Linked DNA regions of Oryzias latipes. The protein of the gene in region 1 interacts with the protein of each later gene in a pairwise test. Links are inferred from orthologs where the notes say so. Each region holds a gene or a part of one and is shown on either strand. Other genes may lie near its edges.

Region 1 (4,169 bases):
GGCTTCAAGGTGCTAGACAGGCCTAAACTGTCCCCTTTTGGATCCATAAGGTCTGACAGAGCAGTAGGCAGAACGCAGATGCTTTGTGCTTATTTGCTCTTGTCTTTCTTTGACCTGATGGGGGCAGGCTTGAGCTCGCCTGACTCAGTCAGTGTGAATGTTGCATCGCTAGCTCGCATGTCTGTAACTCCTCGCAGTCAGTCGGAAGCCAGGCAAGCTTCTGTCAGTGGGGGCTCATCTTTTGGAGAGCGGGTGTCCAGCTGTGAGTGAATTCTTACTCACTCAGTATGTGTACACTTTGTGTGCTGTTGACTGTGTGATGGGACTTCCTGTTGTGTGAGTGTCTAAGTTTGTCGTTCCTTTTGATGGGAAAGATAGTTCAGCCGTGTAGGTGTGGGATACTGTTTGAAGACTCATCGTGTAGGTGAGGATGCCAACTGTGGACTTGATCTTTTGATTGTTCTGGAAAAATAAACATACTTTAACCATTTTGAGGAGCTTTAACATTCAGGACAGCTGCTCTTAGGGAATGTTTTTGCTTTCATTCAAATTTAAGATAGAAAATCACTCTGAAATGGGTATGTGGAAACTTGATTGACATGTAATCGTCCAATTGAGGCTCTGAAACGGCCTTAGTGGGTGTGTTCCAACAACTGACATACCTGTCTGTTGAAAGGAAGTGTTCATTGTAGAGTAGTGCTGGGAGAACAGGTTTTAAGGTGAAATCAACAAGTGACGTGACGACAAGCTGCATCCATCAGATATGTCCTTCAGTCTTGATGCAGACAGAATAGCTATGGAGGGATATTTTTCTGTTCTCCCTGTTCCAAAAGGAAACCCAGAAGTTCCAACTGTTGCAGTTCCTCTAACCACCACTGGTAGCTGGTTTCAAAAGAGATACATTCTTAAACAAACTAGATAATCCAACTTTGCGCTTGGAAAACGTAGCGCTTGTTTGAAAAATAATTTAATGTTTATAAAATTGTATGTTTCTTTACAACAGCTCTATATTTTTAACTTGTTGGTCTGATCAGAATCAGTGTATTAGATTACACAGACTTTGGCCTACAGGTACAGCAGTCAGTCTCTGACTTAAGACTCGTCGGTTCGCTCTGGTCGCCTTCCTCTGTTAATGTGTCCCTAGAAAAGACTCTGAGCCCCACATATCTCCCGGTGGCTCGGTGACTCTAAAGTGCTTAGGACCTTCTAAGAAGGGAGGGAGGGGGGGTAAAACACTATTATATAAGTATATTTCTGTATGTCTATGGCTCTAGACCAAGAGTAAAACCTTTCACTCCAAACACTTAGTGAAGCATTACAGTTTCTGAACAGGATCATTTCTAGTTGAAACAGATTCAGAACTACCGGTAATTCACTTTGCATAAACTTTCAATTTTTCCCCTTCTCTGCCATGAATTGACAGTGGTGTTCAGACTGGTAATTTCTGGGGGCATCATATTTGCATTGACTGAGTGGATCACTCTCTGCATCACTGAGCAGCAGCACATTTTGTTCAATTTATGATGATGGTCCTCTAAGCTGTGCTCTCTGATCTGCTTTGCTTCCCAGGAGAGCAGCATGAGCTTCTTCCTGATCCTTCAGTCCAACTTTCAGCACGTGCTGCAGTATGAGAGCCCAGAGCTGCAGCAGAAAGCTCTCAGTGTGATTCCTCAGCAGAAGCTGTCGGACGCTGCCGGGCTCGGGCTGAACCAGGCCAGAGAGGCCGACCCAGGTGAGACATTGGCCGTTCACAGGAGCCGCTCATACACATAGGTAGCTGGTGAACGCAGCTTGTGTGTCTTCAGGATGCAAGCTGGGAACAGAAGACTTCTTGGTACTGGAGCTGCTTCGCTGGTTCAAACAGAGCTTCTTCTCCTGGGTGAACTGTCTGCCTTGCAGCCACTGTGGAGGCCCCACCCAGAACGCTGGCTCCCTCAGCCCCACCACCGACGACCTCCACTGGGGAGCTCAGCGAGTGGAAAATCATTTCTGCCAGAGCTGTCGGCTCTCCACCAGATTCCCCAGGTGGGTCCATATTCCTTGACTTGGAAGACAAAGTTGGGTGATATCTTAGTCTTTCGTGGCTTTGTTCTACTGGGAGAAAAAAAAAGAGCTCCCAGGTATTATCAAATGATGTATAAAGCATCTGTAGGAAGCAGTATCGGCTTGTGTTGCTGGAGAATTTAAATGTTCGCCTCAGCTGCTGTTTCCTGGAAACCTGTGACATGCTGCTCAGGCCACACCCACAACATTGCAACAACAGAACCAAGTCCAAAGCGGATTAGAGCTGACGGAAGATGTTACAAACTGAGACCAGGGGCTGCATTTATAAACGTTGCGTACGCACAAAAGAAGGCGTACGCCACTCTCTACGCAATAGTTGAGATTTATAAAAAGCAAACTTGACGGGAAAATTTGCGGTCCTTCACGCAAGCTCTGACCCAGGCGTACGCACAAAAACGGGTGAAATGAGAAACGGCGACACCGTCGGCAGATGGAAGAAACACGTGAAAGTGAAAATGACAATACTGCCTCTCAGAAATAACATGAAGACTTCACAAAACAAGTCTTACAATTAACAGCCTACACGAAGACCCGTTTGATCGATCAGCAGTGAAACAAAAAAAAAAAAAACGAAAATTACAACAGAAATTCAAATGAACACATATTTGCAGAAAGAAAAGTGAAATATGTTCCACAATATTGGCATGTTGTGCAATTCATCCTCATAAATAATATAGTTAACAGAACGAAATAATGTACAAAACTGATATTCCCGTCAATGTGTCCGTCTGGCGGAGCAGATATAGGTGCGGGCGTGCGGACGGACGGACGGACAGACGCACTAATTGTCCACTGGGGAAAGTTGTTTTCATATTAAAACATTTCTTCATAAACTATGGAATTATGGTATTCATGAATATGCCTTTAGTTTGTTTTATTTTTGATAAAACAATGTATGGCGTATGTCTCGACCATTCAGAAAGCAACAAGAAATTACATTTGCGCTGAACAATTTCCCATTTCCACGTCGATTATTACCGACATTTGTAGCTTGTCAGATGCAATTAAATGGAGGGAAATAAAATGCCCCATCACAATGCGTAATGACGCACAATGGCTGATCTTGCGCTCTTAGAAGATGTGGCAAATGGAAGAATTCGGAGTGAACGCATCTTTAGACAGCAAGAAGACGTGCTGGCAAACGAGGACGAGTGGTTTAGGAGCCGGTTCCGACTTCCTCGAGCCGTCCTGTTGGTGCTTTTGGGGGTGTGTCACCCGGTGCATCTGGCGCGTCGTGTCCCCCTGCGCGTCAGTCACCACTCCACTTAAGGGATTCCCCAATTATTGCCGCCAGTCTGTCATCAAGAGGGGTCAGCTCCGGTGTTTTATAAATGAGGCCCCAGGTGTTTTCTTCATCCTGCTGATTGTTTCTTCTCAACTTCAGATACAACAACCCTGAGAAGCTGCTGCAGACCAGGAGAGGGCGCTGTGGAGAGTGGGCAAACTGCTTCACGTTGTGCTGCAGAGCCATGGGTCTAGAGGCCAGGTACATCTGGGACAGCACAGGTACGCCTGAGATCGGTCTGCGTGAGTCTCTGTAAAACCTGATCTTTGTAGGAAGGCCTGGTTGCCAGGGAAACCAGTTTTCTTTGTTGCTCAGTTCTGGGATAACGCAATAACACCTTGATGTACAGTTGGACGCTTTATTCCAGCTAAGAAAGTGTGGCCTTATTCAGATAATCTGCTCAGAGCTATAGAATAACAATTTTAGTTAACTAGCTTAGTTTGATAATTTGTGATCCTTTTTATCACTGTGTGTTGATCTGTACTTTTTAAATGAACTGGTTGAAAATGGAATTTTAGGTAAATTTGAACTTTCTCTGGGGACCTGCTCACTGGAAAAACCAGTTTTTATGTTTACATATACAGGATTAACCAGATTACCACACCTCCACTGTCTTGCATGGGGAATCCCGGTTCCCTACTTCCAGCAGCATCTCTCTGTTCAAAGTATTTGCAGTTTTTGTCTTGGTCAAAAGTTTAGATTTTTGTGCGGACAGGATCTGCCTCAGGAAACCGGGTTTTCCAGAATTCCTCATTTCTCCCTCCTGAAAATGTGGTTTTTGGAGAACACTTGATTGTAACCCATTCAGTGTGATCGTCCT
Region 2 (4,869 bases), on another chromosome or scaffold:
CATGGCGATGGAACAAACACAGCAAGCAGTTTGCTCTGAACGAATATCTTCTTGGGATTTATCACTGTAGTGATTGTTGCATTGACGAAGCGCTGCTGTTTGCTTTACTGTTTACCTGAGACTCGCAAAAACACCTGTTAACCGTTTTCCTCCGTTTGTGGACTCCTCTTCCTCGATGCCGTGGAGGCTTTTGAAGGCATGTGGAGGACTGAGCAGCTTCACATCAAACACAGCCGGCACACAATGCTGCATGTTTTCAATAGAAACCCTAAATTATCTGCACGTTACTTCCTGTTAAGTCATATTCCAGGTTCCCCACATTTTCACCAGATTAGAAGTCGACTCCCGGAATCAAAGTCTTTAAAAATAAAAACAAACTGGACCGTCCCATTGGTCGAAGACCATCCCCTTGAAATCAAGTTGCCCTTCGAGCTGGGACGTCCTCAGACGTTCGGTCAGACGTGTCTTTATTTACAAACGAAGGAGGAGATGTTGAGCCACTAGAGGGCAGACCTGCAGCGTCACCATGACACAAAAAACGATGGCATCCTCCTTTGGCGTCCATCAACTCTCCTTGTAGATGAAGAGGATGTCCTCGTCTGTTCCATAGCTCTGCCGGGCCTCCTCGAAGTTACTGACACTGGTGCAGCACACACCTGGAAGAAAAAACATGTTTTCCTGAAATGCTTCCATCAGAACTCCACAGACGAAAGAAAAAAAAAAAAAGGTTGCTGGTTCAGCCGGTCTGAAGCAGTCCAAAGATTCAAAGTCTGACCTTTTAGACAGCATCTGTAAACTGAAAATTTTGGGGAATTCACGAGAAAAAAAACCTGAGTAAATCAAAAATTTACAGTTGAAAGTTTCAGAGAATACAAACAGACATCAAACAAAAAGTTGCAAATAAGAAATGACAGAATTTAAATTCTGTAGATGGAACTTAAGAGGTAAATCAAAACAAAAATCATTCTAAATCTAATTGTTGCTATTGGAGCATTTTAGTTCATTGTTCAAAAAAAGCCATGAATCTGCTTAAAGACTCACTAATGAAAACGAGGTTTTTGGTGGTTTTGCAAGTTCTTATGGCATTTTTCTGAACATAAGCTTAAAGTTGCATGTCTGACAATTTCTTCATTTAAATTGTGAATCAGGAGCAGACTAAAAAAAAATTTTCTGTTTGATAAAGATTGTATTTGTTCACTGGGCGGACCACAGACTACCTGCTCCGCTCCATTCTGATGCATCCACTTGCAGACACATAGATCCATGTTTGTCTTTGTTCTCCTCGTCTGAGCTGGCATCTGGCTCAAAACAGTATGGCTGGATATAACTCCAATATTGCTCGCCATTTAAGTTGGGGGTGTGAGCGGCTATAAGCTAGCAGGAGAGCGTGTTAACAGAGCCCTCAGTTATGGGTGATGTGAAGAGGGCGGGGTTGGCCAACGGTCGTACTGACAACTCAGAGGTGAGTTTTTATTGAACTCCTGTCGCTCTGCAGAAACTATGTTCTAAAAATTGATACAGGTTTTTTGATTTGGGCTATAAATTGCACAATCATGGTTAAAAGATCACCGGGAACGCTTTTAAAATAGATCACAAGATGTTTGGAGTGGGACTTTATGACATAATGGACACATGCATTTTAAAAATGCTACTTATGCACCCTTTGTAACTAAAATGAACTTAAATGTGCAGCTCTTCTCAACCAGCATGGGTGAAAATGATCAAGATACATGTCTTTTTGGACAGAAGAGCTTTTTAAACTTACGGTCAGAATAAGCAGGGTTGTTGTAAAAGATGCTGCCAGCTGTCTTGTTGAAACCACATAAAACCACAAAGTGACCCTGGTACTCCGGCTTCCTGCAGAAACACTTCTGGCCCACGGGCAGGAAGCAGCAGTACTTGACAGGAGAGGAGCACAGCTCACAGGTCAGGATCACGGCGTTGACCAGCACTATGGCGACGTGGCCCTGCTCCAGGTGCGACTGGATCTGCTGAACCGTCACTGAACTGTGGGAGGATGGCACACGTTAGACATGACCTCCACAAGGCAGCAAACATGCGGGGGAATGAGCTGAAACTCACCACTTCCTGACAATCACACCTTTGCTTTCCGCCTTTAGGAAGAGTTCGTTCACTCGGTCTTCCTCTGTGTCAAAATGCTTTTTATAAAAGGACTGCAACACAAAGTAAACAGCATGATAATCAGAACTTCCAGGAGTGTTCTCAAACAGCAGAGACTCGGAGAAGTACCTGGTTTTTAAAGCCTTTATCCACTCCAAGAGTCTGTGTGTAGAAGCAGTGTTTGATTCCTAGATGGCTCATGAGGTAGGCCAGGTCAATGGTCCACACGCTCTCTGTGAGCTTCAGTTCCCAGCATGCTCTCTGAAACTCCTCATCACTCAAAGGGTGGAGGTACCTGCAGTCCACGTGGTCATGGTCTTGTTTTAAGGTGGTCTTACTGTTACTGATTCTTGGTGAAAGGTCAGAGGTGAACTTACTTTAGGACCATTCTGGAGCAGGCTAAGCCACAGTCCCAGTGGTAGAGCTGCCGGATGACAGGAACACTCAGCAGGATGGCATCCTCTGAGTGAGAGAACCAAACATCGCGTAAAGACTGCTGCTGTGTGTGTGAATGGGAAGATTTAACCCGGGTTAAATGGATGTGTCGCATTTCGTACCTGTCATTCTGCTGCGCTCAGTCTTTTAAGGACGGCTTGCTAACTCGAAGCAAACTCGATGGTCCTGTTTCCCCCCCCTGCAGGCGGGGCTGCCTTTCCTCATCTATGCCAACTAAAGAGGAAATATGCCGGGTACACGGTGAAAACGGCGCGTTTGGACACAGCCCCGCCAAACATACGATTATTGACAAGTACAATACATGGCAAAAATATAAAAAGGATTTCCAAAAAACAGACTCCGCTGTTATTGTCCTGCCAGCGCCTTCACCGTCTTCCTCACTTTTTCAGTTGTTTGCTAGTGGCCCAACACTGCCCACGGAGAAGCGTCGTGTTTAGCAAGCTTGTTGCTCTACTGCCCCCGTGCGGTGTGGAGGACTCACTCAAGGCAATTTAATGCAATGTTAGACAGAGAGAGAGAGAGACAGACAGACAGAGCGAGAGAGAGAGAGACAGACAGACAGAGCGAGAGAGAGAGACAGAGAGACAGAGAGACAGAGAGACAGACAGACAGACAGACAGACAGACAGACAGACAGACAGACAGACAGAGATAGTCAAAGAAGTCATTAAAGAAAAGTAGAAACATCTTTATCTATAAGCTATTTCTACCCTTCTTCAAAGTTCTCGTGTCCTCTTTGGAACCTGTCGACACATTTCCATGTTTTTGTACCAATTCATTTTAACAATTCATCCATATCATAATTTGTGGTTGCTGGTTAGATTCCCTCTCGATTTTGGTTCGATTGTAAGGATCCGACTGGATTTGAATAACTGAAAATCGATCTGGGACATATTTAGCCAAAAATCCACCAGTGTAATTCAGAGATAAATAGCTGGTACTGAACAGTGCAGGTGAAGCTTTCCAGATACCTTGTGTTTCTTGCAAGATAAGCAATTGTAAATTATGTGTATGTGTACAAACAAGAATACATGTCAAAACCATTTACATTTTAGTTTCCTAAAGTTCAGCCTGCTGTTGTTTTTCCACATCAAAATAATCCAAAGGGAACATTATTGGAACATTCTACCAGACTGTATGGTCACATGTCTTTGTTAAATTTTAAGTGTTTCCATACATTGGACTGGAATGATGGACTGATCGTTTTTTACTGTCATCACATGTGTGTTGTCCACTGTGATGTACTTGTTTTTTTATTGTAATAGTAAAATAAACATACTGTGCTGCATTTTCCAATATTGATATGATTGACTTATTTCATCTTGATAATGTTCAGGTTGGTTTGATTAAAAATTTCCCTCAGACAGATCAATCCAGTTGGATTGTAGTACTATAAATCGATTCATTGATTAAGTCAATTACTCGTTACACCCCTAGTTTATTTCTTTAAATGCTTTTATGCATATTTTTCAAGCACAAAATTAAAGTTAAACGTTGTAGCAGGACTTGTTGTGATGTTGTTGTCAGCTTTGTACAGAGAGCGGGCTGCAAAGTGGTACAGTGGTTGGCGCCTCTTGCCTCACAGCCAGGGGACCCTGGGACCTCCCTGTGTGAAGTTTGCATGTACTCCCCGTGTAAGTGTAGGTTTTCTCTGGGCACTCTTGACCTCTTCCCGAAAACATGCTTAACCGGTTAATATATGACTCGAAATTGTGCCTAGGTGTGTATTTGAATGCTAAAATTTAAACGCCACACTCACTCTGAACTGTCTCAGCTGACAGTTCAGAGTGAGTGAGACAGAAGTAAAAATCAAGGAAATCACACAATTTTTTTTAATTATTTTTAGAATAGTGCAGAATATGAGGAGTTAGGTAAACTTCAGCTACAAGACACAGAATGCGGGGAAACAATCGAGGAAATCACATAGTAGGATTTTAATGAAAGAATTGATAAATTAACTCCTACAAATAAGCAAGAATTCGGTTCCTCACAGACCTGTTACCACTCCTTTAAGAAGCTCTTCTGTCCAGAACTGGCCATCAGTATTTATGTATCTTCTTTGAACTGGTTATCTGTATAAAAGACACTTGTCCACACCCTTAAACAGTGAGACTGCAGTCTCTCCACTCTGACCAAAGAGCTGTCTAAAGACACCAGAGAAAGCTTGTAGACCCGAACCAGACAGACATGAAGCAGTCTACAATCAGCACGTAATGGGTCAACATGCAGAATTGGTGACTGCCAAATGAATATGTTTTTAGACCTGAACATGCTTGCAAACTACTAACTTAAA
Region 3 (4,823 bases), on another chromosome or scaffold:
AGTCCCGGACTGCGCTTGTGACCGTTCCTCCACTGAAGTTGGAGTAATTGTTGTTGGGAAGAGAAAAGGAAGGGTTTGCTGATGTGTTAGACTTCCCTATGTTGTGGTCCCAGATGTCGCTCCACATGTTGCCTTCCACACCTGCCCCTGGTCCTCCATCCCCCTGCAGGCTGAGAGCCAACATGTAGTCCAGGCCGGGGGAATCCTCGTCTGATGGACTCTCACTGTGTGATTTGGCATTGTTGCTGCTTCCATGCAGGAAATCACTGTGACCTACAATTAACCGAAAATGTTATCCCATCCATTTTAGGAAATCAGATTTTACTAGTGCAAGAATGAGTTCAATATCTAAATTAAATGTTCTAGACATAATGTTGATGGCCTCATCTCACGACACATAAAGCAAACATTGCACTCACAGTGGCTAAACCCTGTGTTTTGAGGTGCAGCATTCTTCCAGTCTCTTGAAGCCTGCGTTTCTCTCGCTGTGTTGAACATTGAAGGATTAAATGCAGGAGGAAAGGACTGTTGAGCTGACGCACCAATGTTATTATTTTTCGGACTCCTTTCTTGGGGTCTGAGGAGGTTTCGAATGGAGTGAGCTTCAAACCATGCATCGGAAGACTCTCGCTCTGCTGCGGTGCGGCTCATCCTGCTGTTGTTCTTCTCTTGAGGTGGTGTGAGGCTTCCACATAAGGCTGGATGTACAACCTGTTCACGCAGCATCACATTGCACTTGCAGAGTGGACAAGGCTCAGTCCGTGTACCACAATAGTCCTCATGCTCCTTAGACTGAGAAAAAGCAAGCTCCAGATCACAGTACGGGCAGGACACCAGTCGCTGTGGGCATTCAGAATTCTGCAAGAAACAAATAACAGGAACATTTAAATAAAATAACAACATAGCTGAAAAATATTCTGTACTTTTACTCAAAACAGTCTTTTTAGACAAGAATTTGCATATTATTCATTGGTTATTCTTTGCATGGATAAAAAGGCATCTTTGTTCCTGACCATACCTGATGAACATCGACATGATTTTTCTCAACTTTCATTCCACATTTGCATGTAATCTGGAAAAAAAAGGAGTTTACATTGAAAACTTTAAAGAGTTTCACTTTGCAATAATTTCTCTAAGAGCAAACTTTAGTTGATATCATTGGTGGGTGCAGCGGAAAATATCTGTTTCAAAATTTAAGCTTAAAGTCCCGCTTCAATCATCTTTTGATCTATTTCAGAAGTGTTTTCAGTGGCCTTATAGTTATAAGCATGTAATTTTTAGCCAAAATCGAAAATTATTTATTTATTATTTTTTCTAGGACGTAGTTTCTGTAGTAGTGCATTCGAAATTTGCTTCTGAGTTGATGAAGGAATTCTGCGGCAGAACAAGTCAGCCCCCACTTCCGTATATAAGCCATCTGTTTAAAAGCTATTAGCCCTCACACATCCAACCTAACATTACTGGTGGAACAAAAATGGCCAGCAATATTGGAGCCATCCAGCTGTTTTGACCCAAATGCCAACCTTGGACGAGGAAAACAAAGACATACGTGGATCTGTGTGTCTACATGTGGATGCATCGGAATGGAGCAGAGCATGGAGCTGGTGGCTTGCTGCAGTAGGTCCTACATTACAACAAGCCTTTTTTTTTCTGCTCCTGATTCGCAAGGATTTGAATAAAGAAAAATACCCAGAAAGGCAGTTTTAAGCTTAATTTTATTTATATGTGTCATCCATCAAGAGAAAAATCCTACAGGAACGTGTTTAAAGTACGATTTTCATTTGAGTGCATCTTAAAGTTACAATTAGTGGATTTATGAGGATTTACCTGCAGCACAGTGGTAAGTTTACCTGAATGAAATGCATTGCCCCACCCTCCCTATTATTTTAGACTTTGGATGACACTCAATATTTTCAAAGTCCCATTAGAATCAGGGGGAAATGACCATCCCAATCGCGCTTCATCTGGAAGATCCTCCCCAAAATCACTGGATAAAGAGCCAATGGCCCCGCATCCGTGTACATGCTGGTGTTAAGTTCAGATATCTACCTCCGTGTGTTCTTGCAGCTTGTGCTCCTCGAGGTCGGATCGGGGTACGGGCTCCTGGCACACGTCACACAGTGCTATGTTTCTGCGACAGTGAATCTCGTGGGTGGTGAAATTGGCCTCTGGGATGTCACGTTTACTTAAAAACAAAAAACAACAACAATAGAAGGGGCTGCTAGCCACCAAGAAGAACTGCATTAGAAACTCGCGTCACAATAAATTCATACTTACCAGTTGCCACAATACATGATGGTGTTTTCGTCGTCTGCCATCATGACTTCAGAAAAACCTTTAACAAATAGCCATAAACATAAAACAGAAAGGGACATTCATCTTTGCTCCAACGAGCTGGACATTTTATCTTCTTCTGGGTTTTAACATTTATTTTAGTAGTGTAGCTGTAACCGTATAAGTTATAACATTTTGTTATTATATCATAGGGCTAGGCTAGGCTTAGGGTTTGTTTAAAGAGCGGCTATCGTTTTGGAAAAAATGAAACCAATCGAGAACCGTTTCACTTAGCCCTTCTTATGGTTTACAGGAAGACAGTAAATATTTTATTCCGAAGAACACCGAACACGAACCTTAACCAAAAATGGGGTTTGGACGACTTGAGTTAAATAGAAAATACAATGTTTTGTCTGTATTGGGCTAGCTAGCGTAGCATTATGATTACCTAACTAAATCCATCTACAGTTTACGAACATCTCGTCATACAGCTAATGTTACGATAGATTTTGTGTATAACGAAAATTCATAATAGTAGTTTCTTATTTTACCTTTTGTCAGTTGGATATTTTCACTTGATAAAGATGAAAACCAGTCTAAACTGTCATTTCCTCTTCCTTCGTCTGGCCTTCTCCCTCCTAATCTCCTCCCCGGGTAAAGGCTTACAGGCACAGACTTTTTCAGAATGTCTAAATACGGTTTACACGTATTCTCGCTCTCAATCACAGAGTAAACGAGTCATCGGTTTTATGAGTAACACAAAGCTGTAACCAAAATCTAAAGGTTTTTTTTTCCCGCAAGACACAAGTCAGGGCATAAATTAACACAAGGTGAATACTCAAAATTGATTGGTGATTTAAAGATCCTGCGTAATGCTTTATCCTACATCCAACATCGCAAGTATCTTCAATATGCTTTTTTTTTATTCGTGTTTTTCCGCTACAAATTAATTTTAAATGGTGCATTCTTGAGTCAAATTCTCAAAATTTACACTTTTATGGAGTTTACTATTATGTATTATATATAATGTTGATAGACATTGCATAGAACTACGAGAAAGAAAAACATGACATGAATTTTAAAAGACATGATTCCCCACTGTATTGTCTAATATGTTTTATTGAAATTTTGATTCACCAATAATGTCATGTCGGACAATTTATTGTAAGGCACAGTTCTGTTAAGATAAAACACTGATTATATGTACAGCAAATATTTGAATGTGTTGTAGAAATCCTACAAACTTCAACTCAAAGACAAGACAAATATTGTAAAAACAATGGAAATTTGCTTCCAAGCCCTTTTTCTTGCAAGATTTCAGAGGTAAAGTCACCACTTTACAATTTGATAATAAGATGTAACAGAACATTTAAAACATGCTGTAAAAAGAAATACAGAATAAAAGAAAACTGAGTAAATGACAAACCTTTTGAATATTCTGTAAAAAGAAAGAATACTTGAGATTTTAACTAGTGCCCTAAAAGAAGAAAACGATTTAAACATGTGCTCAAACTGTTAGTTTTGCCGTCCATGTTTAGGTTTAAAAAACACTTTCTCTAAAGAATGCATGATGAAGCCCACGTCTTAGTTCTTTGTGATGCATTTAATCCATTAGCAAAATAATTCTCTGATAAAAGTTTAGGTCCAACTTTTGCAGATCACACTCTGGAAAACATTCGGCAAGAGCATTAGCTGCACAGGGACAAACGTGTGTCTGTACACAATGAATCATCACCGTAGAAATCAAATAAAACGACATTACTGATCATTCTGTTTGCATGATTGTTTCTACCATATCGATCCCCTCTATATCTCCGTCAAAGAGGCATTATAAGCTGCTGATATGAACTAAAAAAAAATGGAAAAAAAAGACAAATGTAACTTTGTATGCTGTCTCATATTTTAGCATTTTTAGAAAATGTGCAAAACAATATTGTGAAGCTAAATCAAAACAGCTACTCCCTGCCTTATTTGTGGCCTTCTTGTTGTTGATGACTCGCTGCATCTCTTTATATTGAATTGTGAAGCGTGGAAATATTACAAGAACCATAAAAGTAGATTTATCTTGTAGGTTTATACACTAAACTCCTGTTCAGATTTCCGCCTACCTTCGTTTTTGTGCTCTTACAAGCTTACTACCTTTTTTGAAAGCCTTCCTGTTGCACTTCCTTGTACGTAAGGAGGACATTTGGTCATTCGTTGTAACTCTATAGTCTCTATAGTTATAATCAATAACTATAAAATGCTTAAACAACTCAAACACTATATTTCAAGTCATGAAAAAGGAAGCAGGGTTTTGCTTTTTAGTCCAATATAAAATTCAGTCCTGTGGAAAAATATGTTGTTTTTTAAACTACACTTTCTTATATAATCTATTACAGCTAAAATTGAAGGAAAGGCTCAAAGACAGCATACAAGAAAGGAATAAAAAATTGGAAGTCAAGCACAGGCGTCCCAGGAAATCTAAAGGAGGAGGCGCAGACTTAAAGAGTTGAGGCTGGAAGTCACAGAGGTAGAAGATCTCAACAGAAAAAGCAGAGAACAACTGT
Region 4 (4,696 bases), on another chromosome or scaffold:
CCTCAGCAGCAAAGGAAAAAAACGGCTGCTCTGCATCGAGATTCGCTATAAGTTACAATCACGATTGGAACAAAAAAACACACACACAATACCGCTAAATGAGACTCCATCCTAAAACAGGAAGTGAATTTTGTTTCTTTTAACAGATCTGAAATCTGTTAGCATCTGTCCGCATGAAAGCACAGCAGCTAAAACAAAAAAATGATCTTAAAAAACAAAAGTTTGAATCTCCAAATTGTATTCCTCCCCTTCAATTCCACCCGCCAAAATAAAAGCATAGAGGAACTTCTAAACAAGTGTGATGACATAAGACCACCTCTGCTTTTAGTGAAATTATTCCAATCTTTGATATTTTAGGGGGTGAATTAAAGAAAGTTGCTTTTGTGGAGGTTTTAGGAGCTCAGCATCAGACAGGTGTGCAGCCCCGCACACCAGCAGAGGCGGTTGACACTCAGACACGGTGTGAAAAAAAAGAGGAGAAAGTCACCAAAGGGATTCGCTTACGAATAAAGGAACAAAACGGAGGGATATAAAGGTTCCAAGCAAGCTTGCAATTCACCAGCGGTTTGTAATTCACCGACCTTTGTCACCATGACGACCACAAAGTTCTTCTCATCGATTTTGTATTCTTTGAGGGCCGTGTCGTCGCTGAGGATTTTTCCTGGAAAGAAGCAGAAAAGGATTTCTGAGGGATGGACGACATCCGTCTGGGTTTTACTCGCTCTGAAAACTAGAAAACGAGGATCTGTGCCGGTCACACAAATGATGGTCATTTACACAAAATCTGTTTTTAAAAGTTAATTTCTAAGCATTTATCTTTATTCTCAACCAAAATCTTTTGTTGACTCCTATTTTTCATGATATTCACTTCAACTGCAGCGCTCTACCCATTAAAGCAGAAAAGCATAAACACATCTGTCAATCATTGACTTAAAAAAACCCATAATAATCCGGCATAAAGCAGTAAATTGAAGCCCAGTCCCGTTCTGTTGATGATTTGGATCAAATGAGGCTGAAAAACAAGCAACTACTGAGCCACAAATGCATCAATCGAATCAAGAAAGTTCTTTTAAAAGCATAAGAAGCTACAGAAGTGGTTCGCTAACCTCCATCTGTCTTCTCACCAATGAATCATGGGAAAACTGTATTTTTTGGAAAGGATTGGTGTGGAAGCTTTACGTTTTGGTGCTTTTTTTGTGCTCATGTGAGCTCTAAAGGTGACACAATGATTTCTGTACTCAACTTGGAGTCCAAATGTGCACAGACGCGCAAGCCTGTTTCCCATTGTCGATCCCCATCAGTTAGGGGGGGAGGGGGCTGTGTGTAGGTCTGGGGAGGGGGTTCTATTTTAATTTTCGTGCTTGTTTTTATATTATTTATTTGGTTTTTCTTTAATGTAAAGCACTTGTAGGAAAAGCACTTTCTAAATAATGTTCGATTTGATTCAATGCTTCCTGGGTGAAGCTGATTTGAACATAGAATTTGCCGGACCCGGGTTAGCCTAACATAGGATCCAGTTGGATCCCTTCACCCTGATGTAAAACATAAAGTGCAGGTATCTAGCGATTTTATTTTATTCTGAAGTCAAAACTAAACTATGTTTGTAACGACAGTCAGAATTTTAACACTTTTTTGCCCACATTGACAAAAAAACTATTCTTCTAGAATACAAACAGAAGCAGCAGACATCGTCATCGCCTTAAATCAATCATTTTACATAACGTCAGCAATCAATTTGTAGTCTTTTTAAAGTTTCTTTTCAGCGTCTTTGAGGCTGTAACATGCATGTCAAAATAAAAGCACAGTTCGCTTTAAGACACATTTAAAATATTGAGGAACAGAACCTAAAATAACTATTTTATGGGTTTTGGTGAAACTTTATGTACCAAAAAGTACTTGTGTGTCAACAAAAGTGTGTTTGCAGCGTATCATCATTCTTGTGGTCACTATTAAACAACACAGCAAAGAAATACATAATTTAAGACAAATGACATCAAATTAAATGCATTTTTAAATATTTTAGGCTGAAAATTCTAGATTTCTGGACTTTATAGACCCGACAGTTTAAGATCTGAAGCAATTTTGTGTCAAATATGCAGAGAAATATACAAAAAAAACTTTTAGGCAAATCAAAGAGTACAGATCTTTCCGGATCTTAACCTGCCAGGACTATGGATGCAAACTGATCAGAACCGGTCTAAACATCACGTGAGTACTCAGAGGAAGAAAGAGGCAGGGAGGGACCCATCATACCGGCGTAGATCAGCTTCTGCCCGGCCACTGAAAAGCTCTCCTTCCCCTTTTCCTGCTCAATCCTCTCCTTTAACGTCTTCACCTGCAGAAGAAACAACAACACTGACAACAATGACTAGCAGTAAACAACAATACACACAGTGAGATGACTCAGCACTTCTGGAGCCATAAGGTCCAAGTTTCTGTTGTTAAGAAGGAAACCTCCTCTAAAATCTAGCTACAGACATCAACCATTGAATCTTAGCTGTTAGCAACAGATTTAGAGGAATAACGCGCATGTCCTTAAAGTTTATCGAAAGTAAAAGTTCGGAGTAAAAGATCTCTGTCATAAATGTTTAGGAACAGTGCGAAGGCTGGCGTGTAAATAGAAACAACTTTACTATCGTCATTACATTTAAGCACAGACAACAACATTTTGCCTGAGTTTTTGTATGTTATTTTAAATCAAAAGAGTATTATTTTGCTAGCGTAATGACTCTAGTCAATATGTTTTTAACAAAAACAAACAAAAAAACATTTACTGCTGTTTTAGTTGCTCCACATAAACAACTCCCGCTCGCGCATATTTCTCACCGTTTCTTCCTCATCGATGTCGATTTTGAAGGTCTGCTGTTGCAAAGTCTTTAAAGTTATCAGCATGTTGTAGGTCGGTTTACTTCTGGCTCCAATTTTAAAAAAATCTGTAAATCTAACTTGAAAGAAATCGCTTTTTTCCGTTGGCTCATTACAAACTGTCAGCCGCCATGATTTTTCGGTTCTCTTCTTCTGTGGCGGTAAAACCGGGTAACCCCCCCCCCTCATGAAAAAACACACTAGCGCCCCTGGTGGCTACACGTTGAACTTAATCAAATAATCTGCTGGACAATAAATCCAAATCAGTTGGTCCCACCACGGTTAAATTGATTTGATTGTGGAGGATATTCTATATATATTTTTCTTCATTATATTCTATATGTTTTTTTCAATATATATACACATTTTCACATAAAAATTAATCAAAACAGAATGTTATTTTTTCCTAACACTCTGAATAAGTAAGTAATACTGAAAAGTAATACCACAGATTTCATGTCATTTAAACATTAAACACACAGCTGTTTAAACAAAATTAAATTAAATAGGATTTAAAAAGTAAAATAGCATAACAATAACAATAAAAAAAATATATACAGCACAAATATTGGAGCAAATAATTAGCACTTTGACACTAAATTATTTTTTAAATTCACGTATTAAATGGTGTAGGCTGCACAATTGTATAGTGGTTAGCACTCTTGCCCCACTGGGAGAGGTTCAAATCCCTGCTGGAACCTTGCTGTGTGGATTTTGTATGTTCTCCCTGTGCATACACAGGTTTCCTCTTGGAAACCTACCGTGCCTCAATCCAAATGGTATTTGCAAATATCGAAATAATCAATTTAGTTATTTTTAAAATGATTCTATAATTTGAATAACAACTTGGCTCAAACCGATTGATCTGGTAGGTCGTGGGAATAAAAATTGATTCATGGCTTAAGCCGATTAATCTATACGCCCCTAAACGCAACCCACAGTGTTGTAAACAAATGTTTAGGAAACATTTGGTGGATCATAAAGTTATGGTGCTTATCATCACACTGTGAGATTTAACCCTTGTGCTATCTTAGATGACCCCACCCTTACATTGACGTGTTCTCCCTACCATGACAAAGGTGGATAAAGGTGGAAAGATTTCATGTAATCCATGGACACCAGTGAAGATCACAAATCACTGAAGAAAAAAGGTTCAGAGCACTGTCTAGTGGGTCTAGATGACCCAACTCCCAATAGTAAAGTGCCTAGGATAGCACAAGGGTTACAGGTGTTGTCTACGTTATTCGTGAGCCTCCATGGGAGGCTAAGACACAGGAGTGTGATGGAGGCCTGGATCCCCCCACCCACCCACTACCACCACCCACAGGATCTGCAGCTCTTGTCGAGGAGCGTGACGCCAGGAGAAACCTTGAGAAGTCTCGTCTACGGCCCAATAAGTCTGAGCTATTTTTGTAACATGAGAGGAGCTCCAAATCAGGAAGGTGGTTTTGATGTTGTGCCTGAGTAGAAATCTTTTTTTTTTTACTTTAAGACAACAAGAAATTCTGTTGAAGGGTTGCATCAAACAGCCAGATCTTTGCTGCTTTGACTCATTGAGGCCTTCAGAAAGACATTTTGCTTCCTTCTCTGCACCCCCTCTTTCATCTTTGGCTCTCGCTCCATCCCCTCATCTTTAGAGCAGCTTTGCCCACACCGGCCTTGGCCCGGGCTCTCATCAGACATTCCTCACGTAGCTCCCCTCTGGAGCGGCGCTGTCCTCCTCTCCCCTCCCTCGTCACCGTGACTGCGCCTCTCGCTTCTGTCTCCAGGCGTCGTCAGCATGCCACCGGCCCCCTCTGATGCAGTGAGCCGCAGAGATTACAATCTGATC

What was found.
Region 2: the proteins of ngly1 (region 1) and gucd1 interact in binary tests that used the Homo sapiens proteins (3 or more experiments, as listed by UniProt). The two-hybrid records come from large-scale screens. The link is inferred for Oryzias latipes from reciprocal best matches to the Homo sapiens genes NGLY1 and GUCD1.
Region 3: the proteins of ngly1 (region 1) and trafd1 interact in binary tests that used the Homo sapiens proteins (3 or more experiments, as listed by UniProt). The two-hybrid records come from large-scale screens. The link is inferred for Oryzias latipes from reciprocal best matches to the Homo sapiens genes NGLY1 and TRAFD1.
Region 4: the proteins of ngly1 (region 1) and rad23b interact in binary tests that used the Homo sapiens proteins (3 or more experiments, as listed by UniProt). The two-hybrid records come from large-scale screens. The link is inferred for Oryzias latipes from reciprocal best matches to the Homo sapiens genes NGLY1 and RAD23B.

Annotation. Positions count from the first base shown.
Region 1 is NC_019869.2:19,041,466-19,045,634, reverse strand, and holds part of ngly1 (peptide-N(4)-(N-acetyl-beta-glucosaminyl)asparagine amidase), read left to right. Parts: intron 1-1,569; coding exon 1,570-1,732; intron 1,733-1,805; coding exon 1,806-2,025; intron 2,026-3,448; coding exon 3,449-3,570; intron 3,571-4,169. UniProt on the Homo sapiens protein: Specifically deglycosylates the denatured form of N-linked glycoproteins in the cytoplasm and assists their proteasome-mediated degradation. Cleaves the beta-aspartyl-glucosamine (GlcNAc) of the glycan and the amide side chain of Asn, converting Asn to Asp.
Region 2 is NC_019867.2:25,326,825-25,331,693, reverse strand, and holds the start of gucd1 (protein GUCD1), read right to left. Parts: upstream 3,038-4,869; 5' UTR 2,686-3,037; coding exon 2,679-2,685; intron 2,584-2,678; coding exon 2,499-2,583; intron 2,417-2,498; coding exon 2,251-2,416; intron 2,175-2,250; coding exon 2,083-2,174; intron 2,008-2,082; coding exon 1,766-2,007; intron 657-1,765; coding exon 565-656; 3' UTR 1-564.
Region 3 is NC_019867.2:12,247,347-12,252,169, reverse strand, and holds the start of trafd1 (TRAF-type zinc finger domain-containing protein 1), read right to left. Parts: upstream 3,038-4,823; 5' UTR 2,826-3,037; intron 2,336-2,825; 5' UTR 2,322-2,335; coding exon 2,278-2,321; intron 2,186-2,277; coding exon 2,050-2,185; intron 1,073-2,049; coding exon 1,019-1,072; intron 859-1,018; coding exon 420-858; intron 274-419; coding exon 1-273. UniProt on the Homo sapiens protein: Negative feedback regulator that controls excessive innate immune responses. Regulates both Toll-like receptor 4 (TLR4) and DDX58/RIG1-like helicases (RLH) pathways.
Region 4 is NC_019870.2:9,289,001-9,293,696, reverse strand, and holds the start of rad23b (UV excision repair protein RAD23 homolog B), read right to left. Parts: upstream 3,038-4,696; 5' UTR 2,893-3,037; coding exon 2,827-2,892; intron 2,336-2,826; coding exon 2,254-2,335; intron 662-2,253; coding exon 582-661; intron 1-581. UniProt on the Homo sapiens protein: Multiubiquitin chain receptor involved in modulation of proteasomal degradation. Binds to polyubiquitin chains.